Macaca mulatta: one gene and its partners. The protein of the gene in region 2 purifies or fractionates together with the protein of the main gene of each other region. This does not show direct contact. Links are inferred from orthologs where the notes say so. Each region holds a gene or a part of one and is shown on either strand. Other genes may lie near its edges. The genes, in order: HSP90AB1, LGALS3BP, TUBGCP6, MYCBP2, CAD, FBXO45 and CUL7.

Region 1 (4,880 bases), on a different chromosome or scaffold from region 2:
ACTTCTTTGACCCGCCTCTCTTCCAAGTATTCTGTCTGATCTTCTTTAAGATGGAGGATCACTTTGGTACCTCTGCCAATGGGCTCACCTAGAAGAGTCAATCATAAGCGTGTAACAGGACGAAAGTATATGCAGTTGAGACTTCACCAAATTAATAAAGTATTAGCGGAACTGCTATGAAGAACTGCTTGACAGGATGCTCAAAATTTCTGCTACTGGTGAGCCCACAAAACTCTAACCCAGCTACCTTGTAACAGAAAAGCTAACTTACCATGGTCAGCCCGCACAGTGAAGGAACCTCCAGCAGAAGACTCCCAAGCATACTGTTCATCATCGTTGTGCTTTGTGATCACAACCACTTTCTCTGCCACCAGGTAGGCAGAATAAAAGCCAACACCAAACTGTCCAATCATGGAGATGTCTGCACCAGCCTGCCAACAAGTTTTTGTAAAGTCAAACACAAAATTTAAAGCAGCAAAAAAAATAAAGAACACTGATGAATATGAATGGTGTATGCCTACAGAACTGCAGTACCTGAAGAGCCTCCATAAATGCTTTAGTACCAGACTTGGCAATGGTTCCCAAATTATTTATGAGATCAGCTTTGGTCATCCCAATGCCTGTGTCTACCAAAGTCAGGGTACGTTCCTGAGGGTTGGGGATGATGTCAATTTTCAGCTCTTTACCACTGTCCAACTTCGAAGGGTCTGTTAAGCTCTCATAGCGAATCTTGTCCAAGGCCTGAAACGAATACAAACAGCAACTTACTTTTGCTCTCTCCGAGACAGGCAATTGCTCTGTTGCCCAAGCTACAGTGCAGTAGTAGCAAGGATGACAGCTCACTGCAGCCTTGACCTCCCTGGTTCAAGCCATCCTCCACCCCAGCCTCCCAAGTAGCTGGGACTACAGGCACATGCCACTGTGCTCAACTAATATTTAATTTTTTGCAGAGACAAGGTCTGGCTGTTGCCCAGGTTGCCCTCGAAATCCTAGGCTCAAGTGATCCTCCTGCCTTGGCGTTACAGGTGTGAGTCAACACGCTCGGTCACTTTTGCTTTCTTAAAGCCCGTGTCTTCAAAGAAAATCTTGGTTTACCTCTCTCAGCCTCAAATCTGATTGCCCCTTATCTTGAGGCTTTAGAACTACAGTTAGTTACATGAGCCCACTTTTTCTGGACATAGTCACTTCCCTTTCAAGTTCAAGATGGCCAGAGAATAAGACAAATCTTTTTGGAATAGTTGCAAGTTTACCCCCTTCAATAGTAGTCCCCAACAAAGGCCAAACCACTCCTTTCCTCTCTACGAAGAGTGTCAAAAAAATAAACACACCAAATATAGAAACCACAGCACTTACATCAGAAGCATTAGAGATCAACTCCCGAAGGAAAATCTCCTTGTTGGAATAGAAGGTATTGATGATGAGGGACATGAGTTGGGCAATTTCTGCCTGAAAGGCAAAAGTCTCCACCTCCTCCTCTCCATGGTGCACTTCCTCAGGCATCTAAAATAAAAATGATCATTAATTACAAAACATGAAGGCCTCACATTTTAAAATCCTAAAGGTCATCTCATTTGTTAGGACCTTAAGAGTTGAGACTGGTTTGACCTGAGTACTATCCCTTCCGAAAAGACCGAAAAAGCATTCTCTTAAAAGATCTCAGGCTACACACTAAGTGGGAAGCCTGAAAATTCAGAAGGAAAAAGAAAATAAGCTGAATGTTCTTCAACCAAATGTCACAGAACCCAGCTACTTAGAGTGGTGACCAGCAGTCTCAGCGTCATCCGGTAGTATGGCAGAAACTCATAATGCTGGTCCAACCCAGGTATCCAGAGATCCCAGATAATCCTTACACAAATTTAAATGTGAAAATCGCTACCTACAGTTCTTCATTTGGAGATCAAAGTAACTAGTTTGGCACTAACTTTAAACTGCTCCCCCTGAGATGTCTTCCTAAGACCAGCCCAAGGGCGGGACACTCCTACCCTACACTGCAGGGAGGAATAACCTGGGATCCAGAGGATACCCGCCCGAGGGGCAATTAAATCCGGACAAAGAATCGATAAGCCAAAAGCTCCACTACGACCCCTTCACAGGACAAAATTACAGAACAGGCCCAAACCCAACAGAAGGAAGATGGTGGCCGTAACCACCAGGCCGACACTCGTCACTGCCGGACATGCGTCGGCAGGGACCACGCGAGGAGGGGGCGCCGCCGTGCACCCTCCTTCGCCCCAGCATCCGGGCACTGGGGCGGGGCGCCAGAATCCAGAAGCTTCCAGAACAATCTCAGCTCTAGAGGACGGGCGGAGGAGGGAGCCCATGAATCTTCCAGAACCTGCCCCCCTCCCCAACCCTCCTCCACCGGGACTGCAATAAAGATCTGGAAGGAGGGAGTATGGGGTGCTGGAGACCGAAAGCGCTCCTCCCACACCATGAACCCTCACAGAAACAAAGCACCCAAGGCGGCTTTAACAACGCGTCCGATAAGAGATGTGGCAAAGCCAGTCCCACAGGGCCGTGCTGAGTCACCCGAGCAGGCACCCCCGCCATCCTGCGGTCCCCCTCCGACGCCCTATAGCCGCGTCCGGAAGTGGAGGGGCAAAAATGGCAGCGTCCCGGGCCGCGCGGCCACCACGTGCAGCTGCCCGCCGCGCACTGCCCCAGCCCCACAGCCCACCTCGCTACGGCTAGGAGGAGCCAAGAGAAAGCCCCACCGCCCAAGCACACTAGAGAAAACCGAGGAAAACTCAAGAGCCCTCACCTACCACTACCCTCACCCTATAAAAATCCAGGGCGTTATCCACAAGCCACCCCGGTATCTAGGCTCCCTAAAGGACAGAAAAAAACAAGAGCAACACGAAAGAGCACTAAAGAAGCCTAACGAAGAATTCAGCCTTACCTTGAAAAGAAAAGGCTTACACGTATTAGAGAAGAACGTGGGCTTGCTTTCTGATGACTACCAGGCACAAAACGCTGCGCCGGAGTGACTAGAGAGAGCTACTGCGTGCCCCAAGTCTCCCTATATAAGGCGAAGCACAGAACAGCCGCCCTCCCGTGGATCCCTCCGCCTTAAAGGAGCATGCTTGTCAAGTCCGCACCTGCCGCCACCAGCCCACCTTGACGTCATGGTCCGAAAAAAGGAGGGGGCGGGGAAGAACCCAAGCAACGGATCCACCCACACGTTTGCTTGTGATCACAGCCCCATATCTTCATGTCTAGGACCTGACCCCATCAAGAGCTGGGATAAGGAGTGCTCATTTGGCATATACGGTGTCTCTACGGGCGAGGAATCCATTGACCTCCCTAAAAACCTGTGAGGCAGGAGTCCCCACACCCAAGGACAGAGCCCGGGGGAAACACCTAAAAAGAGCCGAGGCAGCTAACCACTCCGACCGCTGCTCCCATACCCAATCTTCTTCCTAGCATATGCCCTACACATTTCGCATCCCGACAGAGGGACTGGCATTCGGGACCCGACCTTGGTTAGCCCCAGATCCTGACTCTCCCAGGAGCAGAGGAAGGGCGGAGGGTTCGCAGTGTGGGGTATCTCAGCGTGGGGGGAGGGCGCCGGCCGGGGCCGGCGGGACTCTTTGCCGGCATGCGGCGGAAGGCGCGGCGGCGCTGCGGCTTTCCAGCAGTTTCCAGGCCTGTCTCGGCGGTCCCGCCCCCGCCCGCCCCCTCCCCGCGGGGCTCCGCCTCTCCGGCTGCGGCCAGAGCAGGGTTTTTGCAGCGACCCCACCCGGGGACCGGCTCTGACCTGTCGGAGACGACGCGAGTACTAGCCCAATCCTCAGGGATGGGATGGAGCGTTGGGGAGGGATCGGCTGACCCCTCCTTCCCCGCGTCAATCACACAACACCCAAGCACCTGGGGCGACTCTGCGGGCGTACCGTTTTGCACTCTGAGACTGGAGTCGCTACGGGAGGGACCCCCTCCAGCCCCTGCGGCCGCCACGTACACGGAGCACGGGGACATGCGCCCTCCCTACGCAGGCACGTCAAGCCCTTTCTCAAGCTGGTTCGCTTTTTTTCTCCCACTTCCCTCCTGCAGCTATTTGGACGTGGGAAGGAGGGAGTCTCTAGGAGCCACTGCAGGGCAACAGGAGCTCTTGGAGGCCGCGTGAAGACGCCGGCCAGAGAGCGGCTGGCCAAGTTGTTCCCCTTCAGCCTTGGCACCAGAACCCCTAGGCCATACTCCTGGTCAGTGAACTGCGGCCGCCGTCTCTGGCCTGTCTCCGCCCTTTTGCCTGCCCTCCAGTCGGCAAGCTGTCCTTGCCTTTCCAAGGCGTCATCCGAAAGCCTGCTGGACCCACAGCCCCTCCAGGAGAGAATAGCCGCTCCCTGCTCTGTGCCCTGTAGATGTCCATCTAGTCCCCTTCCTGGCCCACCCCTAGGATGCTTGGGAAGAGTTTCCCCACAGCCACCCACGTCGTCCTCCCTCACCAGCCCTGTTGTTACCCAGTCTACATTCGTTAACAAGCTTTGTTCATGTGTTGAATACCAAAGAAAAAGGACGTCCCTTGCTTTCCTCTTCCTTGTCCCTGTCAACTTCTCCATGCCTGCCATCATCATCCCGATTTTATATCCTTTCTCCCTTTCATTATGGTCTGCAAAAAGCCTATGGCTGGGAGAAGTCTATAAGAAGGGGCATTGGGTGCTCTATTCCTGACCAAAACCGCAAACCAGAGGGAGCGTGATCCCTTAACATACTCTCTCCTTCTAAGCAGAGGGACCTACGTCATTAAAAATCTGCTCCCCAGTTCACAGAGAGCATTCACAAACTCTCACTGTCCTGTGAGCGGATGAAAGCCAGTGTGTACATTATATCAACAGGGAAGTGGCTTTAGTGACTCCCAGGGTCCCTCTACTCAGAGCCCTTGC
Region 2 (3,724 bases):
CTGCCTACCGCCCTTTGCCAGGAGCTGGAGGCCCCTAAGGCAGGAGGGGTCGAATCCCAGGGAGCCCCTGTGCCCACATGGGATGGACAAATGACTGGAGCTAAGCCTGGACTCACAGTGCGGGAAGCCCACGAGATGCCATGGGGCTGTCGGGGGCCGGGGGAGGCCAGGCGGAGCATGCGGGGCTGTGGGTGCCGGGCAAAAGCTCCTGGGGCAGGAGAGCTGTGGTGAGGCGTGCAGGTGGGAGGCAGCTGGGGGTCCTGCAGTGGTTCAGGTTTTAGGAGGCCCAGGGCAAGCCCACCTGGTTGAAAGGTCATGGTTACTTCAAATCTATTATATTTGTGACAAAGAAAAAACTATGGGATTTCGTTTTGAGTTAGGCTTTGAGAGGGGCTCAAAGAAGGGGGGAGGGTATACCACACTGACCCCTGACCCGGGAGCCTCCCATGACTTCTGCAGGTCTTGTCCCCCACAGGAGGCTGCTCGAGGACCCCCAGAGTTCTAAAATGGGGTTGCCACAGGACCCTCACTTTTCAGGCCATCTAAGCAGGCAGTGGTTTTGGTTTGAGAAGGGCAGTGTCATTGGTGGTTGATGACTGAGGCTGGGGAGTGGGGCTCCAGAGTCAGCACCACCAAGTCTCCCTGCAGAGCTGCTGCCTGAATCGGGGGAGCAGCACAGAGCAGAGGGCCTAAAGCGGGGGCCTGGACAGGCTTGGCCAGGTCCCAGCTGCTCTTGTTCCCCAGGGCTGGAAGGGGTGGGGCCTCACGGCCCAGGGATCCGACACTTTCGGTCTCTCCTGTCCCTTATCTTCCCAGGAGCCTTCCAGAGTGGATGAGGCAGCCACGAACCCCCCACTTTCAGATGAAGACGCTGCCCCCAGAGAGTGGCAGCGTCCCGGCTCCTAACGTAGCCTGCTTCCCTCCCGCCCCTTCTTAGAAACCAGGAGCACCCACACCCTGGACCTCTCCAGGGAGCTCTCGGAAGTCCTTGGCCAGATTTTTGACAGCCAGCAGGGCTGCGACCTGTCCATCAGTGTGAGTGTGCAGGGCGAGGACGCCCTGGGCTTCTGTGGCCACACGATCATCCTGACTGCCAACCTGGAGGCCCAGGCCCTGTGGAAGGAGCCAGGCAGCAATGTCACCATGAGTGTGGATGCCGAGTGTGTGCCCATGGTCAGGGACTTTCTCAGGTGAGCCGTCTCGTCCTCAGGCTCTGGGGCTGCCAGGGGCTTTGTCCTCCTCCCTGCTTCAAAAGCACACCCACACACACGCACACCTGCACACACTCTTGCATGCACATGTACCGTTGTCACACGTGCGCTCGCGCAGTTGCACACACACGCATGCTCGCTCCCACGCTGTGCACACTCGGGTGGCTGTGTTGGACAGGCAGGCTCAGGGCTCCCCTGCTGTCCTGTGGGGCTGGCATCCACTCTCCCTCTTTCTCCCCAGGTACTTCTACTCCCGAAGGATCGACATCGCCCTGTCGTCGGTCAAGTGCTTCCACAAGCTGGCGTCTGCCTATGGGGCCAAGCAGCTGCAGGGCTACTGTGCAAGCCTCTTTGCCATCCTCCTCCCCCAGGACCCCTCGTTCCAGACGCCCCTGGACCTGTATGCCTATGCACTAGCCACAGGGGACACCCTGCTGGAGAAGCTCTGCCTGCAGTTCCTGGCCTGGAACTTCGAGGCCCTGACACAGGCCGAGGCCTGGCCCAGTGTCCCCACAGACGTGCTCCAGCTGCTGCTGCCCAGGAGCGACCTGGTGGTGCCCAGCGAGCTGGCCGTACTGAAGGCCGTGGACACCTGGAGCTGGGGGGAGCGCGCCTCCCATGAGGAGGTGGAGGGCTTGGTGGAGAAGGTCCGCTTCCCTATGATGCTCCCTGAGGAGCTCTTTGAGCTACAGTTCAACCTGACCCTGTACTGGAGCCACAAGGCCCTGTTCCAGAGGAAGACTCTGCAGGCTCTGGAATTCCACACGGTGCCCTTCCAGTTGCTGGCCCGGTACAAAGGCCTGAACCTCACCGAAGATGCCTACAAGCCCCGGATTTACACCTCGCCCACCTGGAGCGCCTCTGTGACGGACAGTTCCTGGAGTGCACGGAAGTCACAGCTGGTCTATCAGTCCAGACAGGGACCTTTGGTCAAATATTCTAATTACTTCCAAGCCCCCTCTGACTACAGATACTACCCCTACCAGTCCTTCCAGACCCCACAACACCCCAGCTTCCTCTTCCAGGACAAGAGGGTGTCCTGGTCCCTGGTCTACCTCCCCACCATTCAGAGCTGCTGGAACTACGGCTTCTCCTGCTCGTCCGACGAGCTCCCCATCCTGGGCCTCACCAAGTCTGGCGGCTCAGATCGCAGCATTGCCTACGAAAACAAAGCCCTGATGCTCTGCGAAGGGCTCTTTGTGGCAGACGCCACCGATTTCGAGGGCCGGAAGGCTGCGATTCCCAGTGCCCTGGACACCAACAGCTCCAAGAGCACCTCCTTCTTCCCCTGCCCAGCAGGGCACTTCAACAGTTTCCGCACGGTCATCCGCCCCTTCTACCTGACCAATTCCTCGGGTGTGGACTAGATGGCGTGGCCCAAGGGTGGTAAGAACCCGAGAACCCCAGGACGCCCTCACTGCAGGCTCCCCTCCTTGGCTTCCTTCTTCTCTGCAACCACCATCAACAACCGTCCACCAGATGTCCCCCTACTCCCCTGAGCTCTCAGCTTCAAGAAGACTTCCACTCGTGTCCGCCAGGAGTTCTCCCACTGCCTCACCAGGTTCCAGGTGGTAAGCACCAGGGCGTCCTCGAGGTCGCTCTGGGGTCCCCCCACAGCCCCTGGTCAGTCTGCCCTTGTCACTGGTCTGAGGTCATTAAAATGACATTGTGGTTCCTACATTTGTTTGTACAGAAAGTGTTGTTGGGTCTATACCGTGTTTAGACATCAGGTGTGCCAGGCTCTGGGGGGCAGGGAATGAGGCAGAGTCCCTGTCCTTGTGAAGCTACTGGCTAGCGGGGAAGATGGAACAGGAAGCACACCTCCCAGCCCGGAGCAATGACACAGTGGGACACGAGCAGGAGGGTGCGCGTCACTGCACACGTGCACGTGGGTGTGTGATTGTGTGGGCATAGGCGTGTGTGTGTTCATGAAAGTCTGGCTGTGACGGGTGCCCTCACCCCTTATCTGGATGGGTGTGCTTTATTTTATTTTATTTATTTATTTTTGAGACGGAATCTTTTTTTTTTTTTTTTTTTTTGAGACGGAGTCTCGCTCTGTCGCCCAGGCTGGAGTGCAGTGGCCGGATCTCAGCTCACTGCAAGCTCTGCCTCCCGGGTTTACACCATTCTCCTGCCTCAGCCTCCTGAGTAGCTGGGACTACAGGCGCCCGCCACCTCGCCCGGCTAGTTTTTTGTATTTTTTAGTAGAGACGTGGTTTCACTGTGTTAGCCAGGATGGTCTCGATCTCCTGACCTCGTGATCCGCCCATCTTGGCCTCCCAAAGTGCTGGGATTACAGGCTTGAGCCACCACGCCCGGCCAAGACGGAATCTTGTTCTGTCGCCCAGGCTGGGGCGTAGTGGTGCGATCTTGGCTCACTGCAACCTCCACCTCCCGGTTTCAAGCGCTTCTCCCGCCTCAGCCTCCTGAGCATCTGGGACTACAGGCACCCGCCATCATGCCCGGGTAACTTTTGTATTTTTGTAGAGATGGGGTTTCACCATGTGGGCCAG
Region 3 (4,194 bases), on a different chromosome or scaffold from region 2:
AACCCGCCAGGCTGACACACTCGGCAGGGACGCACAACTCACGGTGGGAAACGCAGCCCTGGGGCCTCCTCCGCAGGTGCCTGGGAGCACAGCACCAACGCCACAGAGCTCGGCCAGGTACCTAGACCCAGAGGCAGGATCAGACCAGGTGACCGGGCTCAGGGTCCCCAGGCCTGGATCAGATCATGAGCAAAATCTCCATGTATCTTCATGCTCCGTGGAGCAACTGACTTCAGATGCAGTCTTTAAAAACCACATGCACCCCAGCGACCCAGAAATGGGCTCCCTGGAGGACTTGTGCCCAGCCCTGGGCCTCTGCACTGTCCACACAGACCCACTGAAGTACCCACACCCAACAGGCCCCTCCCTCCCAGGCTCTGGCCAACACACTAATCACCCTGATCCTCCCACTTCCGGGGGCTGCACCTGAGAGCCCCTCCCATCCACACAGTGGCACCAAGCACCTGCCACAACTCGCGCCTTCACAGCCCAGGCTCCCCTGCCCCACGGTGTCTCAGCCCTTGGGTCTCCTCAGGGCTGCCACATTCTGCTCCTCTGCCTGGAAGGTCGCCTCTCCCACTGCTCCCAACGCCCAACTCCTCACTCTTCCTCGTCTGACAGCACTTGCCAGTAGCTCCCCAGCCTGGTTGCTCAGTAACCAGCTTGTGTGTACCAGAAGCCACATCCCTAGGGACCCTGTGTGCCAATTAGGCAGGAGCCACCAGGCCTGGAGGGCCTGGATGGGGCCAGCTGTGGTAGGCCCATGGGAGACACACCCACTCTGCCTGGCACCTGGTGAACTCGGCCAGCCAAGGGCCATCCAGTCACCTGCTGAGGGCTGTTCTCACAGGCCCTCCTTGCCAGGAAGCAGAGCAAACCCTCCATCACCCAGCAGGCTCCATGCCACTCCTGCAAAGTCCCCTGCTCAGTCACCATGCTGAGGCTCACCTGAGCTGCCGGCCCAGTTTCTTGAAGAGAAAACCAATGGTGAGGAGGCTCAGGGTGGGCGAAGTGGAAAGGACGCAGGCCCGGTAATACTGCAGGTACCTCCTCAGGCCACTGGTGAAGGCCTGTGGGCAAAGAGGCTGGGAGGAGGGCGGCCAAGCACATGGACGCAGCTGTGACCAGGGCCTGAGGGGCACCAGTACTGGGCACAGCGCTTTGTTTCCTGCCTCAGCTCTGGGCTCCATTTCCAAGCAATGGGCCTCTGTGAGCCACGTCCCACCACTGGACCAGGTGGAAATGTGGCCCCCCCCACCAACCCTTCCTCTCATCTGAGACCAGCTGCCCCAGGGGCGTGGCATAGGGGTTGAGGGGTGAGGGGGGAAATGGCGGCTGCGCTCTGTGCACAGACACTAGTGCTGTGAGAGCTGCGTCTGCTCGGACCACAGTGGTCTCAGTGGCACCAGCATCCTGGGCAATGCCACAGCAGCAGGCCCTGCAGGTCACACCAAGACAGGCGCACCCTGGACCAATCTCAGTCCACCCACCCCAGAACCCTCCTGGCCACGCCTGCCAGATGAGTGGGAACCACAGTCCAGCCCTTCTCAGTGTCCCTGCTCTGCCCCCTTCTCCACCATCTGCAGCCCTCAAGTCCCCCAGGCCTGAGCCTCTGCCTAGAAGCTCTCCCCGTCCCATGCAGCTCCCACCATGCCCACCTCCGCAGCCCGTCTAAAACCTAAACCTCACCACATCACCCCACCCTACAGCCCCTGCTGTGGCAGCAACAGTTGAAGGAGGCTGCGCCGCCTGGCTCCTCCAGTGCTCTCTGCCCACCTTCCGAACACCCTCCTCTCAGCCCCCAAATTACCCATCATCCGCCTGCCTATTCTCTCCCAATCAAGGTGCAGCCTCTGTCCCATGGGTCTCTACTCAGCATATGAGCCAGCTTCAAGACTCACCAAAGAGCGGCTTCCGGAGCCAGACTTGGCTCAGAACGCCCAGCAGTGTAAATTCACCCAACACGAGGGCCGGGCAGTGTCAGTCATCCGCAATGTGCCGGGCCCACTGGGGAGCAGGCGGCAAGAGCCCCACTAACGCCTTTCCTGCCTCGCATGCCCCGAATGCTGGCTGCACCTGCCTCCCACACACCCCAGGGCCCACACGCATCTGCCCCAGGTTTCCAGTGAGGTAAAACATCTTCACTGACCCATCCCTCATGAGCCACTATTGGGTTTCAGATGTTAGCAAGGAAAGAAAAGGTTTAGACTGTCTGGTCCTGCAGAAGGACTTCTGAGATTCTCTTTTCCAGGTCGTGTGCACCGTTCTCACAAGGATGTGTGACAGCCACGAGGCAGAGGCCGTACCTGGAACACGAGGCCCTTGCTGTACGAAGAGTCCAGGACCGGCTGCAGAGAGAAGTGACTCAGGCGCGTGTAGCAGGTCCCATACTCGGCCACCTCCGAGAGCAGGCTGCTGATGCTCTCGGGAGACGCTCCCGACACGTGGACACCCCGCTTCACCACAAAGGCCTGGGCCGGCTGCACAGGGGTAGAGGACACTGCTCAGAGGCCAGGCACCCAGACCCCCAGGAAGGTGCCATCTCCTTCCACCCTTGCACCCAACCCCACACCACCTAGAGTGCCCCCAGGACCCAAAAGCAAACACCCAGAAGGCGCACCCAGAACTCCTACACTGAGGGACAAAAACGTACAAACCAAAACAAGGCACAAATTCTCACCACACTGAAAAATACATGTTTAAAATGCCAAGTGTAGAAAAGGGTAGGAAACAACAGAACACCTTCCACAGGACACAAGTACACAGACAGCCTCCTAGGGCAGAAGCTATAAAACATGTTTGCCGTGAGACCCGCTCATTCAACTCTTCGGGATGAAAGAGCGGAAACGATGGAAGATGCACAAAGACTTGCCACAGCACATTCCCCGCAATGTGTTTGTAACCAGAGAGTGGAGACCCCCAGTAGAGGGCTCATGACAACCGAAACGAACGGGGTGCAGCAGAAGCCAGGAGGGAGGTTACAGCTGCAAATACGCACGTTAGAAAGGAAAAGAGATATCCCACATTACAAGGAAACAAGATACTAAATCACAACAGCACTGTGTATATCCTAAAGAGATATTTTAAAAAGAGCTGTTAGGCCAAGCACAGTGGCTCACACATATAATCCCAGCACTTTGGGAGGCTGAGGCAGGAGGATCACTTGAGCCCAGGAGTCTGAGACCAGCCTGGGCAACATAGCGAGACCCCCATCTCTACAAAAATTTTAAGTTAGGCCAGGCATGGTGGCTTACGCCTGTAATCCCAGCACTTCAGGAGGCCGAGGCGGGTGCATCACTTCAGGTCAGGAGTTCGTGATAAGCCTGGCCAACATGGCAAAGCCCCGTCTCTACTAAAAACACAAAAATTAGCCGGGCATGGTGGTGTGCACCTGTAGTCCCAGCTACTCAGGAGGCTGAGGCAAGAGAATCGTTGAATGTGGGAGGCAGAGGTTGCAGTGAGCTGAGATTGTGCCACTGCACTCCAGCCTAGGCGACAGAGTGAGACTCCGTCTCAAAAAAAAAAAAAAAAAAAAAACACACAGACATCTCTAGGCTGGGTGTGGTGGCTCTTGCCTCTAATTCCCGCACTTTGGGAGGCCCAGGCCAGCGCATCACGAGGTCAGGAGATCAAGACCATCCTGGCCAACATGATGAAACCCTGTCTCTACTAAAAATACAAAAAGTTAGCTGGGCGTGGTGCTGCACACCTGTAGTCCCAGCTACTCAGGAGGCTGAGGCAGAAGAATCATTGAATGTGGGAGGCGGAGGTTGCAGCGAGCTGAGATGGCGCCACTGCACTCCAGCCTGGGCAACAGAGCAAGACTCCGTCTCAAAAAAAAAAAAGACAAAAAAAATTTAAAATTAGCTGGGCGTGGTGGTGCAGGCCTGCTGGTCCCAGCTACTCAGGAGGCTGCGGCAGGAGGATCGATTTGAGCACAGGAGGTTGAGGCTGCAGTGAGTCATGTTTGAACCACTGCACTCCAGCCTGGGTGATCCTGTCTCAAAAAACAAAACAAAACAAAACAGGCTGGGTGCAGTGGCTCACATCTGTAATCCCAGCACTTTGGGAGGCGGAAGCAAGTGGATCACTTGAGGTGAGGAGTTTGAGACCAGCCTCACCGACATGGTGAAAACCCCATCTCTACTGAAAACAAAAACTAGCCGGCGGGGTGGTGCACACCTGTAGTCCCAG
Region 4 (4,897 bases), on a different chromosome or scaffold from region 2:
GCTGCCTCTACACCATTGTCTTGGCTCTCACTCCAGGGTGAGGGGCTGCCTGGTCAACACTGAGGTCTTGAACTGTGCTGAAGCATTAGGATAGAAATTTAGTCTAATAAATACTTACTGGATACCTAGTACGTGCAAAGTCCTGAAGTGGCTGAAGAAGACACAAAAACAACAAGCTCTGAAGGAACTTAAGATAGGTAAGGAGACAAGACAAGTAACAAAAACTTAACAGGACTAATTACAGTACTAAAATGCTATGATTCCACATGTCTGTCCTTTGTTCCTATGTTTATCCCACTGTTAATTATCTTTAAAAAAATTTAAATGAAATCCATCTATTATTTAAAGCTTCAGAAAAAATGCATTGCTTTCAGCAACCTTCAACCCTAAAACTCGAATTACTTTACTTTCTTATTCCCTGTTGTTTGCACTTCTCAAACACTAAGGAGGATTTTTTTAAATTTTTTTTTTTTTTAAGAGAAGGCCATCCAAAGAAGAGGCACAGATATAAGAACTAGTACATAGATGAAAGATACAGTACGGGGATGATAGAACTTATAAATTATTTTGTCAGGACTATAAATTAGGCAACTAATTGAGAGTCAAAGGATAAAAAGGTAGTAGGAATCAAGGTGCATTGGCACGTATATTTCTAGAGCATACACTTAGACGGGGTTCATAGGTTAGTTTGGAACAAAGGACTGAGCACATGTTCCTTTATAGATAATAAGATCTGTGAGGGATCTGACATTTTCAGATGCTATACAGTCTCAGTCACAATTATTGTTGCAGATCACATTCAAGAATTATCTTTAAAAATGTAAGTTTGGGCAGAAAAAAATAAACAAGTAAATGGCCACTGCCAAGAGATAAAAATGCACTCTTAGGTGAGTGAGGAGTCAACAAAAAGAGTAATTTAAAAAATATTATTGCTCTGTTGAGAAGAAGAATTTGGGAATGATTCTGGCTTATAAATACTAGCCTATCTGTTAATTCTACTTTCACACACAAAAGAATGTGCTAGATTACTACCTCTCTTTGTAAGTAAAAGCTATGTTAAACAAGCTTAAATCCTAATGACAGAAACCATCTAAAATAAGATCTCTAAAGGCACTTCTAATTGGGATGGTTTTCTCTGTCTTAAACTCTGAATTAACCAGCACAGTGCACAGGAAATCTTCCTGTTGGCAGCAGAGCCTTGGGGAGGAGGTAGCAGGAGTGCGTGTCACTCCTCCTTGGTCGATGGGCACGTTCCCTCTTGCTTTCTGGTCCTTGTTCTTCCACCTGGAGGGAACCTGAAGTCAGACGCCAGCAGCTGATAGCCTCCCCGGCACTTTCCTTACTCTTCCTTAAGCTGCCAGTAAAACCCGGAGAAGTGGATTGCTTCGGATTCCGCACCACCCAACCGCCCCAAACCCAAAGCCCCGAGGCGGAGGGAGTGGTGGCGGAGAGGGGGTGGGGAGGAAAGGGGGCTGCAGTTACTGAGCATGTGCGAGGAGTGGCGCATGCTCTGTGAGGCCGGCAGCTTCCCATTGCGGGTAGCCCCGGCGGTGGTAGCGGTGGTGGCGGCGGCAGTGGCGGCACCGCCTCCTCCTCACACTCCCGGGGTGGCGGGGTTAGATGAGCGGCCCCAGTAGCGGCGAGGGCGGCGCGGGGGGGAGGAGGAGAAGAAGGAGGAGGAGAAGAAGGTCGCTGTCTTTGTAGTCTCCCTGCTGCGGGAGCCAGAGGCCGCCGCCGGAGCCGTCGTCGTTGGAAAAGGGCTGTGTGTGCGCGCGCGTGTCTGCCCGCCCGGCCCGCGGGGACGAGGCGGCGGCGGCGGCGGCGGCGGCGAGGATGATGATGTGCGCAGCGACTGCCTCCCCCGCCGCCGCCTCCTCGGGGCTCGGCGGGGACGGATTCTACCCAGCCGCCACCTTCTCTTCCTCCCCGGCGCCGGGGGCGCTGTTCATGCCGGTTCCCGACGGCTCCGTGGCTGCTGCAGGGCTGGGGTTGGGGCTACCCGCTGCGGACTCCCGGGGTCACTACCAGCTGCTGCTGTCAGGCCGGGCCCTGGCCGACCGCTACCGGAGGATTTATACAGCTGCGCTCAATGACAGGGACCAGGGGGGCGGCAGCGCTGGACACCCAGCCTCCAGGTGCGTCCCCAGGGTGCCCTTCCTTGCTCCCCATGCCGCGCGTGCACCCGCGTGTGTGTGTGCGTGCGTGTGTGTACTTGCGCATTTACTGAGCTTTCAACCCGCTCTGGATGTCGGCTGGTAGGAGCGCTTATCGAGATAGGAGGGTGCGGTGGCTGCAGTTTCTGCTCTAAGTGTGTGTGTGTGCGCGCGCGCGCGCGCGCCTATGTGGGGGATAGTGAGGAGTGGCAGGGGAGCCTGTGATCCTGGAAAAGGCGATGGTGCTGGTCGGCTGTGACACGTGTGTGTATCATTGAGGTAGGAGGTGGCATGGGTAGAGAGGGTAAGAGGATGATACACGAAGAGAATGGCAAGAGTGGCAAAGGAAGTGGCATTTTCAGTGTCTCTGCCGCAATGTTATTCGCACGTGCCCCCTCTCCCATGACATTCCTTCCAGCCCTTTCCACCTCCCTTCAATCTGCCTTTCACGAGTCATGGTATAGATTGGTTGAGCTTTGGATAGGCAGGCCCGAGGGATAGGCGTGAGGTCTGGTTTGAAAAGATTTATGGATAAGAGACGCAAAAGACGGAGATCTATGTAGATGCGAAGGGTGTCTGATAGAGATTTTTAGAGCTGTACTTTGATAACGGGGCCGTTTGGTCTTCTCGAAATGAGGTTGCAGTTACTCTTGTGATCTGATGTCCCATCGGCCATTTCTCTTCATCCTCTGTTCGATTTCCTCTGTTACTTACGGGCTTTAGAGTAGAGAGGGTTTTGTAGGGAAAAGGGGAAAACTGCAGAACTTCAGAATATGACAGCTGGTACAGCGTTCAACGGCCACTAGCTAGAAAATCTGAATAGCGCGTAGATCTCTCCCTTTTACTTAGGCTCACTACACCTTCAGCTTCCTTGATGTAGATGTTCAGTTAGTTTCATTTTCTTTTTGTTAAAATGTGGGTGCTTTTTTTTTTTTTTTTTTTTTTTTTTTTTGCTGAGGACTCTCCTATTGTTTTCTTTTCCATGCCCTTGCATGCCGCATACCCTGCAGGATGGTGACTGACTTGTTCCACCAGCTTTGACAGTGGTAATTGGGAGTTGGCTTCATCTTTTTTTCCCACAGCTTCTTGCAGTACATGGGGAAAACATAGTAGGAAACTGTCAAAATGAGTTAAAGAGTTTACTGTTATTTTTTGAATGTGCAACTTACTAGGCAATTGTTAGATGTCTTTTTCTGCCATTATGAAAGGGAGGAGGCAGTAAGTCAGGTATTTGTAGTTTATCACTATGTATTATGGCTTATCTGTTGGAGAGAGTTGTAAAGATGGAGCTTTGTTCACGCTTTTTCTAGGTTAACCAGTCTTTTCATGTCTGTGATTGTTTACAGGATTGGGCACAGGAGTAGTTTTACCATATGGATGTAAACGTATGTAACTACTTTTTGCTATCTGAACTGAAGGCCAGAATGGTGCAAGTTTGTTTTTGCTAATGTTTTTGAAAATAGCACAAAACCACATGAGACAATTTGCTCTGATAATTAGGTATAATTTTGATCTGTAGATCTCTAAATTATGGCACCGCAGGAACATCTTTACAAACTCCTCTTAAAGAATTTAGATTTATTTTGTGTATGGTTTCCAGACTTAATAATTTGTGACTGGTATATTCCTGTTTTGACTTTCTACTACTAGTGTAATATGATTTCTGTGTATCTAGAACTATATTAACAGTTTTAGACAAAATTAACATAGATTAATCACATAATATTTGTGAATGAATTTTTAGCCTTTGGTCCATTTTTGTACAAGCTGTCAATGAAAAGTAATGAAGAATTAGTTCAAGTATTTCAAGAACTACTCATGGAAATCAGCCTTACATTATGATATTGCCTGCTAATGCTTGTTCAACACATTATTGTTTATTAAAGTGCACATTATTTTATTACAAAAAGTAGCCTGCAACTACTCTATTGATGATTTGATTAAGAATTAAATCACATTTCTTATTAAAGATGTTGGGGAAAGTAGAACTGGGGTTTCAACTCTGAATGAATGATAGAATTATTTGTATAGGGACACTAGTTGAGTTAGAGGAGAAGATGAGATCATTTAGACTGAATGGAGGAAGAATAGAGAATGACGCTCTAGTGAGCATCAGGTTTAAAAGTGTGAGAGAAAGGAGACAGTGAAGGAAACAAAATCAAAATTAAGAAGAAAATCATGAGACAGTAGCCTCTGTGGCTCTAGGAGAGTGGATTGAAAATTCTCAGAAGTGGTAAATGTTGAAGAAAGTGAGAACAGTGTTCAGGTGATTGATAACTTTTGAGGAAGTGGTGAGAATAGAGGGATGTGGTGAGGAGTGAATGGAATGTGTTTTTGGTAACTCAAGGGGATTTCAAAGTTGAGGGAAGGATATTCAAATATAGGAGGTTGGGTGGGATATGCAAATGTGGGAGGCTAAATGGAGAGACAGAGTGAAGAAGTGAGAGGGGATAATTGATAGGAAAAGGTCAAAGGGATCTCAGGGACAGAGTAAAGGTGGCAGGTGGGGAGGTTAGCCATTGAAAAAAGGAGCAGTTAATATAGAAGGAGTGGAGGTAAGTACTTGTAAATACAAAGACTGGGAGTTTATTGAGGATAGGAATCATATCCTGTTCGTTTTGAAAATCCCAATGTCTAGCACATTTTTTGGCATGAGTTCTGTAAACATCAAGTGCCTGCTCTGTGCCAGGCACTATTGCAGGTGCTGAAGATGTAGCGGTGAGCAAGATAGACAAGGTCTCTGC
Region 5 (2,862 bases), on a different chromosome or scaffold from region 2:
GCCCTGGGGTCTCCAAGCCAAACTGCTCCTCAGCCCTCCATGGCATCTGCCCCTCTGTCCAATGTCAGGCAGAGGCTCCCAGGGTTGGGAAGTGGGAGGGGCTCCTAATAGTGACAGTGGCTGGGGAACTCTAGGGTGGTTTTGAGAATGCAATGGCAGCCTTAGCCACTGGAGGAGGACTAACCACTAAGAATGGGGAAGAGTCAAGGCCCGGCTTCAGACAGGCCGCAGTGCTCAGCCTTCCTTTCACCCTGTTGAGTGTTTTCCCAGTGTCAGAAAGAGGGCAGAACTCTGTCAAGTCTTTGAGTCAACAGAATTGAGGAAGAAGGACTGGGACACCAGCCAGAGCCTCCAGGTAAGCTCTGGCATTAGCACGACACAGGACTCAGCACAGAGTAACATGCTCCCGCTGAGTCCCAAAGAGCCACGAGTGTGAAAATGCCGAGTGTGGGCACACTGCCCTAGCCAGAGCCCTGCCTGGTGAGGCTGCTCTTATCATTTGGGAATCTGCTCAATTTTTCTTTTTTTTTTTTTTTGAGACGGAGTCTCACTCTGTCACCCGGGTTGGAGTACAGTGGCCAGATCTCAGCTCACTGCAAGCTCCGCTTCCCGGGTTCACATCATTCTCCTGCCTCAGCCTCCCGAGTAGCTGGGACTACAGGTGCCCGCCACCTCGCCCAGCTAGTTTTTTGTATTTTTTTAGTAGAGACGGGGTTTCACTGTGTTAGCCAGGATGGTCTCGATCTCCTGACCTCGTGATCCGCCCATCTCGGCCTCCCAAAGTGCTGGGATTACAGGCTTGAGCCACTGCGCCCGGCCAATTTTTCTAAAAGAAAGCTCCGTTCTACTACACTCAGCATCAAGGGGCAGCTCAGCTGTTTATTAAGTCAGTAGAAAAATGACTGTACAGGTTTAAGGTGCAGGAATGAAGATAGGGCAGACTGGGCCCCAGCATCTGAGGCCCCACCCCCATGCCAGAGAGCTCCAATCCAGAGCCTGAAGTGTGGTCAGCACATGTGAGCTATCTGGATGTCCAAGAATATCTAAGTGTGCTGCCCCCGTAGGGGGCACTGGAATTCCTTGCCCAGCAGCTGGGCCTAAAGAGAAGAGGCTGAGGAAGCCAGGCCCTAGAAACGGCCCAGCACGGTGGCTAACAGAGCCATGCGGATGTACATGCCATTCTCAGCCTGGCGGAAGTAGGCTGCGCGGGGGTCCGAGTCCACTTCCACGCTGCAATAAAAAAAAAAGGAAGTTATCGTGCAGGCCATGGATGGCTTGTCCAGGACTAAGTCTCCTCCCCTCCACCAGACCCGAGGCAGTCTCCAACTCTGATGCTGCACCACCTTATCTCGTTGACACGGGGCATCGGGTGCATCACCACCATCTTCTTCTTGGCCCGGGTCATGATGTGGGGAGTGAGGATGAACTGGCCAAAGCACTGCAAGGCAGATGGGGTCCCCGTTAGTGCCTTGGGGTAGGAGTGGCTACAGAGGACACAAGTCTGGACTCCACTGTGGCCCCCTCCACATCCACATGCAGCTATGGCAACTAACGGACATGAGGTTTAATAGCTCTGACCCAGCCCTCAGCCCAGCCTTTCTGTCCTCATATCTGATGCCCTATGGCAGCAGCCCTGGCTTCTTCCTCAAGCCCAGCACTCACAGCTTCATACTCCTGGGTAGAGCCAAATCGTTCCTTCTGGATTCGAGTCATGTAAAGCACATCAGTGTCAGGCAGTGCCTCCTCAATGCTCTCGAATTCCTCCTGGAGGGTGAGGAGAGCCATGGTGGATGCAGCACTGGGCTCTGACTGCCCAACCCACGTCTCCATGGCCTCCAGGCTGGGCTGTGAGGGTCTCACCTGCTTGGTGCCGCGGGAGGCCACAAAGGCCCGCACAGTGGGTGGCATGCGCAGGCTGGGAGGTGCCACGTAGCGCAGGCTGACACGATACTGGGTGAGCAGGCAGGCCAGGGAATGTACTGTGCGTCCGTGCTTCAGGTCACCCACCATTGTGATCTAGGGGAGGAACCCAGTCACCACAGGGATCCCAGACTGGGTTCCCCCCCACCCCCCGCTACATCATTTCCAAGCTTTTAAAAGTCCCTGGAGCAGAATGAAGGCCTCCTTGATGCAGCTGTCCTGGACCAGGGTAACCACTTCCTGCCTCCCTCTCTAGATCGTCCCCTGGCAGGGCCCCAACCCCTGCCACCACCCTCACCGTCATGCCATTGACAGTTCCCAGCTCCTCACGGATGGTGAAGATGTCCAGCAGGGCCTGGGTGGGGTGCTCTCCGACCCCATCCCCAGCATTGATCACTGGCCTCCGGCAGTGCTTGGCGGCCAGCTGGAAAAAAGGGGAAAATCCTGTCTTTTGCAGCTCAGAGGCCCCCCAACTGTCAGTCCCACTCTTCCGGGGTCCCCTCACTCATCTGGCCCAACCTGAGACTTGCAGTCACAGAAAATGTGGGTAGAAGGGTTCTCAAGTCCCTGGGTCCAGCCTTCTTAACCCCATCTCAGTACCCAGGCTGGCCTCACCTCCACTGCTCCAGGCTGGGGGTGCCGGAGCACGACGACATCAGCATAGCAGCTCATGGTCTGCACGGAGTCAGCCAGGGATTCGCCCTTCTGGACAGACGATGTGGCTTCCGAGAAGCTGAGCACAGCACCTCCCAGCCGGGCCATGGCTGCTGCAAAGGAGCTGCTGGTCCGTGTGCTCACTTCATAGAACATGGAGGCCATGACCTTCCCCTGGGGAGAGAGCAAGGTGGAAGGTGCACGTATGTGTGTCCACCCTGGGGGAACCACAGGTGGGCACCACCACCCCAAGTGATATTTGAGGGACGCTGTGAGGACCCTTCTGCA
Region 6 (4,194 bases), on a different chromosome or scaffold from region 2:
AGGTCAGAAGTTCGAGACCAGTCTGGCCAACATGGTGAAACCCTGTCTCTACTAAAAATACAAAAATTAGCTGGGTGAGGTGGCGCATGCCTGTAATCCCAGCTACCCAGGAGGCTGAGGCAGGAGAACTGCTTGAACCGGGACCCGGGAGGCGGAGGTTGCGGTGAGCCGAGATCATGCCATTGCACTCCAGCCTGGGCAACAAGAGTGAAACTCCATCTCAAAAAAAAAAGTCAGAGACAGAGACTGGGTTAGATAAAAATCAAGATCCAACAATATGCTGTGTAGGAGCTCCACTTTAAATACAAAGACAGACTGACAGAGGATTACTAGAGTCAAAGGAGGTCATTTCATAATAAAAGAATAAATCAGGCAGGGAGATATAACAATTAGAAATGTATATGCACCAGTAGTAACAGAGCTCCAAAATACATGAAGCAAACACTGACAGAACTAAAAGAGGAAAGAGACAAATTGGTAAGCATAGATGGAGATTTCAATACTCCTTTCAGTAATGATAGAAGGGGTAAAAAAAAATCAGTAACACTATATAAGACTTAAATATTATCAATCGACTTCACCTAATTCTCATTTACAAAATATTCCATTCAACAAAAGAATATACATTTTTTCAAGCACACATGGGACACTCATCAAGAAAGACCACATATTAGAATAAAACAAATCTCAATAAATTTAAAAGGACTGAAACCATAAGCATGTTCTCTGAAAAACATAGACTTAAGTAAGGGCTTTCACTTACAAAATCATCACAAGGGTAAGTGATAGGACTTTCTTTTTAGTGATAAAGTCTACACACCCTTCTCCTTATAGTATCTGCAGAGCCTAAAAGGATAGTGAGGAAACATTCTATGAAAAAAAAATCCTTCCAGCTTTTATACCTCAGGAAATAGGATGTAGTTTTGGTTCTTTGGTTCAGTATGCCTGACTTGAGGTCATTACCGAGGCTGGAACTTTCACGCCACATGTGGCTCTGAAATATGCAGCCTATAGTTCTTTAAAGACTTCCAATTTCTTATCAGATTATTATATATTACACCCTGCTGGGTCTATAGTAATAAATATGGCTTTTACAAATAGGACTATAATTTTAACTTGAGTCAAATGAGTATGCCTTAAGCCTAAGATGAAAAGAATAAAAAATACAGCAGTTTGCCTGAATCTGCCTGTCTCTACAGAAATCACTGATGCCTCCAGGGGCTCTGAATCCGCAGGCGGAGGGTATGGTGCATGTGCATCCACAGAGATGTACTTACTGGGGTAAGGAGCCTAGAAAAAGATGTGGAAGTGCCATGATATAGGAAAGATGACCATCTAGAGCAGGGGTATTCAATCTTTTGGCTTCCCTGGACCACAACGGAAGAATTGTTTTGGACCACACATAAAATATACTAACACTAAAGACAGCAATCACCTTTAAAAACAAAAAATTGCAAAAAACTCTCACAATGTTTTAAGAAAGTTTATGAATTTGCATTGGGTGGCAATCAAAGCCATCGTGGCTACCTGCAGGCTGTGGGGTGGACAAGCTTGATACAGAGCATGAACTGGCAAACTACGGCCCCTGGACCCAATCTGTCCCGCAGCCCACAAACAAGGTCTGTGGAATACGGCCACGTTCATTCGTTTACGTATTATCGATGACTGCTTTTGTACTATAGAGTTGCAAGTTGTGACAGATCCTTACCTTGAAAATGACATTAAAAAAAAAAAGTTGTGACAGAGACCATACGGACTGCAAAGCTTAAAATATTACTGCCTGGCCGTTACCAAAAGGTTTGCCAACCCCTGATCTGGAGCAAAGATAGGCTGCTTAAACTTGTATTAGGAAACACATATTGAGAAAGATCATTTACATATTTATTTAAAAACTGTCAAAAAATCTCCTTGAGGCCGGGCGTGGTGGCTCACGCCTGTAATTCCAGCACTTTGGGAGGCCAAGGCGGGTGAATCACGAGGTCAGGAGTTCAAGACCAGCCTGGCCAAGATGGTTAAACCCCATCTCTATGAAAAATACAAAAATTAGCTGGGCATGGTGGCAGGTGCCTGTAATCTCAACTACTCGGGAGGCTGAGGCAGAGAATTGCTTGAACCTGGGAGGCGGAGGTTGCAGTGAGCTGAGGTCACACCACTGCACTGCAGCCTGGGTGACAGAGCGAGATTCTTAAAAAAAAAAAAAAAGGCCGGGCGCGGTGGCTCAAGCCTGTAATCCCAGCACTTTGGGAGGCCGAGGCGGGTGGATCACGAGGTCAGGAGATCAAGACCATCCTGGCTAACATGGTGAAACCCCGTCTCTACTAAAAATACAAAAAACTAGCCGGGCGTGGTGGCGGGCGCCTGTAGTCCCAGCTACTCGGAGGCTGAGGCAGGAGAATGGCGTGAACCTGGGAGGCGGAGCTTGCAGTGAGCCGAGATCGCGCCACTGCACTCCAGCCTGGGTGACACAGCGCGAGACTCCGTCTCAAAAAAAAAAAAAAAAAAAAGAATATTTTCCTGCATAGCCAAAATCAAAATATAACACCCAACAAAATTAACTATAACCTCCTAACATTTAAAAAAAAAAAAAAAAAAAAAACTTGAAGTCTTGGTATTTGAAAAAATAAAAAATAATAAAAATTACCAAAAAGACAAAACAAAACTGCTATACGAAAATTTGTAAATTTAAAACAAATTAAAGCATGATTTGACAAAGGCCCATACTTGAGAAAAACCCGTTTCTCACCTGATATTTTGGTGCATTGTTGCACTGTGGAAAACTGCCATTGACTTCTCCATTATGTAGTAGATTATTGTCCACCAGATTCCAGCCCCAGCTCTGGTCATCACTGCCCAGCAATGCCACATAACCTTGGCACTGCATGGGGGCCCGTTTCGTGGCAATTCCAATCACTGCCACAGTGCCCAGAGGGCCCTCCCACCACACCTCCCATGCATGGCGGCCCTCACTGAAACCAATCTTGGTCCTTGCACCATCAGTGCTCTGAGCAATGGGGTTTCGATGTAAAGTAAAGCCATTCTTCTTAATGTAGACATTCCTGGAGCAGTCATTAGTGCTGAAGGCATGTTGAAAAGCACGTATCTAAAAAGATGAAAAATAGACCAAATAAATAACGTTATTTTTCTTAAATATTAAAAACTTCAGGATGTATGTTTTTAAATAATGAACTTATATATTTTAAAAAACACAAGTATTTCCAAATAATGGCTAAAGTTTCAGGATGGGATACTAACAGAATAAATAACATTAAAAGTAACTGCCAAACGTTTCATCACTGACCAAAATTTTAAATTGTAGTATTTCCTCAAACAGACTTCTTAAAACATCAAAAGATACCAAAAAAAAAAAAAAAAAAAAAAACCTTATATCTTAGAGATAATACTGAAACGTTTATGGATAAAATAATGATATCTGGGGGAATTGCTTTGAAATATCCAGAGATAGAGTGGGAAAGTGTGCAATATAAATATGAAACTAGACTGGCCATAAATTAATCATTGGCAAAGCTTGGTGATACGTATAAGGAAGTTCATCAAACTATTTTCTCTACTTTTGTTTATATTTGATATTTTTATATCAAAAAGTTGAGACATAGTTTTCATATGGGCAATGCTGTCATCAAAAATAATTATATTTTACATAAAATAGAAACTTTAATCATAGCAACTCTAAAGTTTATGAAAAATTTTAGTAAACACAAACTACTTTAGATCCTCAGCCTGCTTGCCAGGTATGACTTACACAATAAACAAAAAATCACCAATCTCATTTTACCAAATCAAATAATCCCCTAGATAGCATCTAGATTCAAGTAACTAGAATTTATAAAGAGAAGCTATCAATAAGACAACTTAGTTGACTCTTCAGCAAAAACAAAAGTTTACACTTCCAAAATAAAGAGGGTATGAAAATAGCTCTTTCATACAAACAATAACAATTTCTCATGAACAATTTTAAACTTTTAGTTTGTGTATTTTAAATTTTTTTTAGACAAGGTCGCTGTCACCCAGACTGGGAGTGCAGTGGTACAATCGTAGCACACTGCAGCCTTGAACTCCTGGGCTCGAGTGATCTCCCATCTCAGCCTCCCAAGTAGCTGGGGTTACGGGTTCGAGTCACTACGCCTGCCTGGTTTGTATGTTTTTTAAAAATCCCTTCTTTACTTTAGCCAAACT
Region 7 (4,194 bases), on a different chromosome or scaffold from region 2:
GTCAGCCCCGTGGTGCAGAACATCACCTCCCCTGGTAACCATCCTAACACCTGGACCCATTACTATCTCAGGGCTTGGCTCCACTAATTAGCTCCTTCTTGCTCTACCCTAGAACCACCTGGATTATGTTCTGGCCCTTTTGGCACCTGCATTTGTAATCCCAGTGCCGTCTTCTCATAGCCCAGGGGCTGCCCCCTTTCCTATGTCTCTCAAGTATCAGCTGACACCATAAGTGCAGAAGGTACCTTGTTACCCACTCCCTTATCATTCTTTTCATATCTTTTTTTTTTTGAGACAGAGTTTCGCTCTTGTTACCCAGGCTACAGTGCAATGGCGCGATCTCAGCTCACCGCAACCTCTGCCTCCCGGGTTCAAGCAATTCTCTTGCCTCAGCCTCCTGAGTAGCTGGGATTACAGGCATGTGCCACCATGCCTGGCTTATTTTATTTTATTTTATTTTATTTTTTTGAGACAGTGTTTCGCTCTTATTGCCTAGGCTGGAGTGCAATGGCGCAATCTCAGCTCACTGCAACCTCCGCCTCCAGGGTTAAGCAGTTCTCCTGCATCAGCCTCCCAAATAGCTGGGATTACAGGCATGGGCCACCATGCCCGGCTAATTTTGGATTTTTAGTAGAGATGGGGTTTCTCCATGTTGGTCAGGCTGGTCTTGAACCCCAACCTCAGGTGATCCACCTGCCTCAGTCTCACAAAGTGCTAGGATTACAGGCGTGAGCCACCGCGCCCGACCCACACCTAGCTGATTTTATATTTTTTAGTAGAGATGGAGTTTCTCCATGTTGTGAGGCTGATCTCGGAAACTCCTGACCTCAGGTGATCCGCCCACCTCAGCCTCCCAAAGTGCTGGGATTATAGGCATGTGCCACCGCGCCTGGCCTTTTCTATTTTTTTTAATGTTTATTATTTTTATTTATTATTATTATTTTTTTGAGATGGAGTCTCACTCTATCGCCCAGGCTGGAGTGCAGTGGTGTGATCTCGGCTCACTGCAAACTCCTCCTCCCAGGTTCATGCCATTCTCTGGCCTCAGCCTCCCAAGTAGCTGGGATTACAGGCACCCGCCACCACGTCTGGCTTATTTTTGTATTTTTAGTAGAGACGGGGTTTCACCGTGTTAGCCAGGATGGTCTCAATCTCCTGACCTTATGATCTGCCCACGTCGGCCTCCCAAAGTACTGGGATTACAGGTGTAAGCCACTGTGCCCAGCTTGTTTATTTATTATTTTTAAAGATGACCAGGCCGGGCTCAAACTCCTCTCATTTCAACCTCCCAAAGTGCTGGGATTATAGGCATAAACCACCCTACCTGGCCCCTCCCTTGTATCATTTCGTCCAGTTGCTCTATCTCTACACTCCTGTTCAGCCCAACCTCTCCCACTTCCCTGCAGACATGGCTGTGCCTTGGTTTGTTTTTCTCACCCTCTAGATGAGGATGGCGTTAGCCCCCTGGGTTGGCTGCTGGAGCAGTACCTGGAGTGTCAGGAAGCTGTCTTCAACCCCCAGAGCCGCGGCCCAGCTTTCTTCTCGCGGGTGCGCCGTCTCACTCACCTGCTGGTGCATGTCGAGCCCTGCGAGGCACCCCCTCCTGTGGCGGCCACTCCTCGGCCCAGTGAGTAGTGGGGATTCAGGTGGGGAGCTTCTAGTCAGGAGCATTTTCCTGGGCCCCACGTGTACACCATAGACTTCTGTCCATCCCCATCCTTCCCCTCCTGTTGGCTCAGCCTGTTCATCTTCCAGGTTTGTGTCACCTCCATCCATGAACATCACTTTGGGTGGCAGCATGTCAGGAAAGGCCTCAGGGCACCCCCTTGGATAGCGACTGGAGTGGAGGGGCTGCCCACTCCTTGCCTCTGCCACTTTCTTGATCTCCACAGAGGGCAGAAACAGAAGCCACGACTGGAGCTCCTTGGCTACCCGGGGCCTTCCAAGCAGCATCATGAGAAACCTGACGCGCTGTTGGCAAGCCGTGGTGGAGAAGCAGGTGGGCAGGAGCGGGCCTGGGGGAGAGAGGGGACACCAAAATGGTGGCATGTTGGGTTGTGTCTTCATGCTCCTGCCCCTTCCTTCCAGGTGAACAATTTTCTGACCTCATCCTGGCGGGATGATGACTTTGTGCCACGCTACTGTGAGCAATTTAATATTCTGCAGAACTCGAGCTCTGAACTGTTTGGGCCGCGGGCAGCCTTCTTGCTGGCGCTGCAGAATGGCTGTGCGGGAGCCTTGCTGAAGCTCCCTTTTCTCAAAGCTGCCCATGTAAGCCTCCACCCTTGCTGCATCCTTGGGTCTCTTCCTACAAACTCTTCCTTCCTCGCCTCCTCCAAATGACCCACCCTTCCATTCCCATTCTATGATGAACATATGTTAGTATATAGCCATGTTATAAGAAGCTTAAAAAATTGGCTGGGTGTAGTGGCTCACGCCTGTAATCCCAGCACTTTGGGAGGCCAAGGTGGGTGGATCACAAGGTCAGGAGATCGAGACCCTCCTGGCTAACATGGTGAAACCCTGTCTCTACTAAAAATATAAAAAATCAGCTGGGTGTGGTGGCACACACCTGAAGTCCCAGCTACTCAGGAGGGCAAGACAGGAGAATCGCTTGAACCTGGGAGGCGGAGGTTGCAGTGAGCCAAGATCATGCCACTGCACTCCAGCTTGGGTGACAGAACAAGACTCGGTCTCAAAAAAAAAAAGTTTAAAAAATAAATAGTGGCCAGGTGTGGTGGCTCACGCTTGTAATCCCAGCACTTTGGGAGGCTGAGGCAGGCAGATCACCTGAGGTCAGGAGTTTGAGGCCAGCCTGGCCAACATGACCAACATGACCAAACCCTATCTCTACTAAAATTACAAAAATTAGCCAGGCATGGTGGCACATGCCTGTAGTCCCAGCTACTTGGGAGGCTGAGGCAGGAGAATTGTTTGAACCCAGGAGGTGGAGGTTGCAGTTAGCCGAGATTGCACCACTGCACTCCAGCCTGGGTGACAGAGCTAGACTCATCTCAAAAACAAAACAAAACAAAAACCACAATTGATGAACTAAAATGCAAGCAGCACCCTGGAAAGCAGGGTAAAGAGCAGCAGGAGCATGAGGCTCCTTGTGTAGCCTCCAGTCCTAGTTTATCAGTAACTAGGCTCAATCTTGGCTCAGCACAACCTCCACCTCCCGGGTTCAAGCAATTCTTCTGCCTCAGCCTCCCAAGTAGCTGGGATTATAGGCACAGGCCACCACAAAAATTAGCCTGGCCAATTTTTGTATTTTTAATAGAGACAAGAGTTTCACCACGTTGGTCAGGCTGGTCTCGAACTCCTGACCTCGTGATCTACCCACCTCGGCTTCCCAAAGTGCTAGGATTACAGGCATGAGCCACCACTCCTTTCCCTTCCCCTTTCCTTCCTTCTTTTTCTCTCTCTCCTTTCTTTTTTTTTTTTTTCTCTCCCTCTCTTTTTCTTTCTCTTTCTTTCCTTCTTTCTTGACAGGGTCTTACTCTCTCCCAGACTGGGGTGCAGTGGTGCAGTCACAGCTCACTGCAGCTTCAACTTCTTGGGCTCAGGTGGTCCTCTCAGCCTCCTGGGTAGCTAGGACCATAGGCATGTGCCACCATGCCCAGCTAATTTTTTTCGTATTTTTAGTAGAGATGGGGTTTTGCCATGTTGCCCAGGCTGGTCTCCAACTCCTGGGCTCAAGCCATCTGCCTGTCTCGGCCTCCCAAAGTGCTGGAATTACAGGCGTGAAGTGCGCCTGGCCTTATTTTCTCATTTTGAATGATTATTATTAGTTTGAATTTTTAGACACAATGAAAAGACACTTTCCATAATTGTTAATATTGCTAATTTGTACAATGGTTAATGATCGTATATAATAGTTGTATGAAAGCACCAACCACCTTAGGAAGCTGCCAGCATTCATATCTACTTTCCAGACCCTCGTCCCTCCTCCCCACTCACCTGCTCTGCTTGCTTGTTCATGGCTTTCCTGTGCTCTGCCATTGCTCAGGTGAGTGAGCAGTTCGCCCGGCACATTGACCAGCAGATCCAGGGCAGCCGGATTGGTGGAGCCCAGGAAATGGAGAGGCTGGCACAGCTGCAGCAGTGCCTGCAAGCTGTCCTGATTTTCTCCGGCCTGGAGATAGCCACCACCTTTGAGCATTATTACCAGTGAGTGTGGACCTAAGGAGCGGG

What was found.
Region 1: the proteins of LGALS3BP (region 2) and HSP90AB1 purify together in Homo sapiens (affinity purification with mass spectrometry; 3 studies listed by BioGRID and IntAct, with this or other methods). This does not show direct contact. The link is inferred for Macaca mulatta from reciprocal best matches to the Homo sapiens genes LGALS3BP and HSP90AB1.
Region 3: the proteins of LGALS3BP (region 2) and TUBGCP6 purify together in Homo sapiens (co-immunoprecipitation; 4 studies listed by BioGRID and IntAct, counting the BioPlex papers as one, with this or other methods). This does not show direct contact. The link is inferred for Macaca mulatta from reciprocal best matches to the Homo sapiens genes LGALS3BP and TUBGCP6.
Region 4: the proteins of LGALS3BP (region 2) and MYCBP2 purify together in Homo sapiens (co-immunoprecipitation; 3 studies listed by BioGRID and IntAct, counting the BioPlex papers as one, with this or other methods). This does not show direct contact. The link is inferred for Macaca mulatta from reciprocal best matches to the Homo sapiens genes LGALS3BP and MYCBP2.
Region 5: the proteins of LGALS3BP (region 2) and CAD purify together in Homo sapiens (co-immunoprecipitation; 3 studies listed by BioGRID and IntAct, with this or other methods). This does not show direct contact. The link is inferred for Macaca mulatta from reciprocal best matches to the Homo sapiens genes LGALS3BP and CAD.
Region 6: the proteins of LGALS3BP (region 2) and FBXO45 purify together in Homo sapiens (co-immunoprecipitation; 3 studies listed by BioGRID and IntAct, counting the BioPlex papers as one, with this or other methods). This does not show direct contact. The link is inferred for Macaca mulatta from reciprocal best matches to the Homo sapiens genes LGALS3BP and FBXO45.
Region 7: the proteins of LGALS3BP (region 2) and CUL7 purify together in Homo sapiens (affinity purification with mass spectrometry; 3 studies listed by BioGRID and IntAct, with this or other methods). This does not show direct contact. The link is inferred for Macaca mulatta from reciprocal best matches to the Homo sapiens genes LGALS3BP and CUL7.

The regions. Positions count from the first base shown.
Region 1 is NC_133409.1:137,866,692-137,871,571, forward strand, and holds the start of HSP90AB1 (heat shock protein HSP 90-beta), read right to left. Parts: upstream 3,000-4,880; 5' UTR 2,900-2,999; intron 1,501-2,899; coding exon 1,354-1,500; intron 742-1,353; coding exon 535-741; intron 432-534; coding exon 272-431; intron 89-271; coding exon 1-88. UniProt on the Homo sapiens protein: Molecular chaperone that promotes the maturation, structural maintenance and proper regulation of specific target proteins involved for instance in cell cycle control and signal transduction. Undergoes a functional cycle linked to its ATPase activity.
Region 2 is NC_133421.1:88,655,326-88,659,049, reverse strand, and holds the end of LGALS3BP (galectin-3-binding protein), read left to right. Parts: intron 1-937; coding exon 938-1,190; intron 1,191-1,452; coding exon 1,453-2,578; 3' UTR 2,579-2,889; downstream 2,890-3,724.
Region 3 is NC_133415.1:1,217,138-1,221,331, reverse strand, and holds part of TUBGCP6 (gamma-tubulin complex component 6), read right to left. Parts: intron 3,058-4,194; exon of another isoform or gene 2,481-3,057; coding exon 2,307-2,480; exon of another isoform or gene 2,252-2,306; intron 2,131-2,251; exon of another isoform or gene 1,845-2,130; intron 1,071-1,844; coding exon 949-1,070; exon of another isoform or gene 851-948; intron 122-850; coding exon 43-121; exon of another isoform or gene 11-42; intron 1-10. UniProt on the Homo sapiens protein: Component of the gamma-tubulin ring complex (gTuRC) which mediates microtubule nucleation.
Region 4 is NC_133422.1:72,122,307-72,127,203, reverse strand, and holds the start of MYCBP2 (E3 ubiquitin-protein ligase MYCBP2), read left to right. Parts: upstream 1-1,531; 5' UTR 1,532-1,620; coding exon of another isoform or gene 1,621-1,704; 5' UTR 1,705-1,833; coding exon 1,834-2,135; intron 2,136-4,897. Other genes in the region: uncharacterized protein LOC144336168, read left to right, coding at 1,621-1,704. UniProt on the Homo sapiens protein: Atypical E3 ubiquitin-protein ligase which specifically mediates ubiquitination of threonine and serine residues on target proteins, instead of ubiquitinating lysine residues.
Region 5 is NC_133418.1:97,742,775-97,745,636, forward strand, and holds the end of CAD (multifunctional protein CAD), read right to left. Parts: intron 2,749-2,862; coding exon 2,536-2,748; intron 2,345-2,535; coding exon 2,219-2,344; intron 2,017-2,218; coding exon 1,861-2,016; intron 1,765-1,860; coding exon 1,663-1,764; intron 1,439-1,662; coding exon 1,344-1,438; intron 1,231-1,343; coding exon 1,128-1,230; 3' UTR 854-1,127; downstream 1-853. UniProt on the Homo sapiens protein: Multifunctional protein that encodes the first 3 enzymatic activities of the de novo pyrimidine pathway: carbamoylphosphate synthetase (CPSase; EC 6.3.5.5), aspartate transcarbamylase (ATCase; EC 2.1.3.2) and dihydroorotase (DHOase; EC 3.5.2.3).
Region 6 is NC_133407.1:2,111,881-2,116,074, reverse strand, and holds part of FBXO45 (F-box/SPRY domain-containing protein 1), read right to left. Parts: intron 3,101-4,194; coding exon 2,744-3,100; intron 1-2,743. UniProt on the Homo sapiens protein: Component of E3 ubiquitin ligase complex consisting of FBXO45, MYCBP2 and SKP1. Functions in substrate recognition but also plays an important role in assembly of the complex.
Region 7 is NC_133409.1:139,085,240-139,089,433, forward strand, and holds part of CUL7 (cullin-7), read left to right. Parts: coding exon 1-34; intron 35-1,444; coding exon 1,445-1,627; intron 1,628-1,892; coding exon 1,893-1,999; intron 2,000-2,088; coding exon 2,089-2,271; intron 2,272-4,009; coding exon 4,010-4,170; intron 4,171-4,194. UniProt on the Homo sapiens protein: Core component of the 3M and Cul7-RING(FBXW8) complexes, which mediate the ubiquitination and subsequent proteasomal degradation of target proteins. Core component of the 3M complex, a complex required to regulate microtubule dynamics and genome integrity.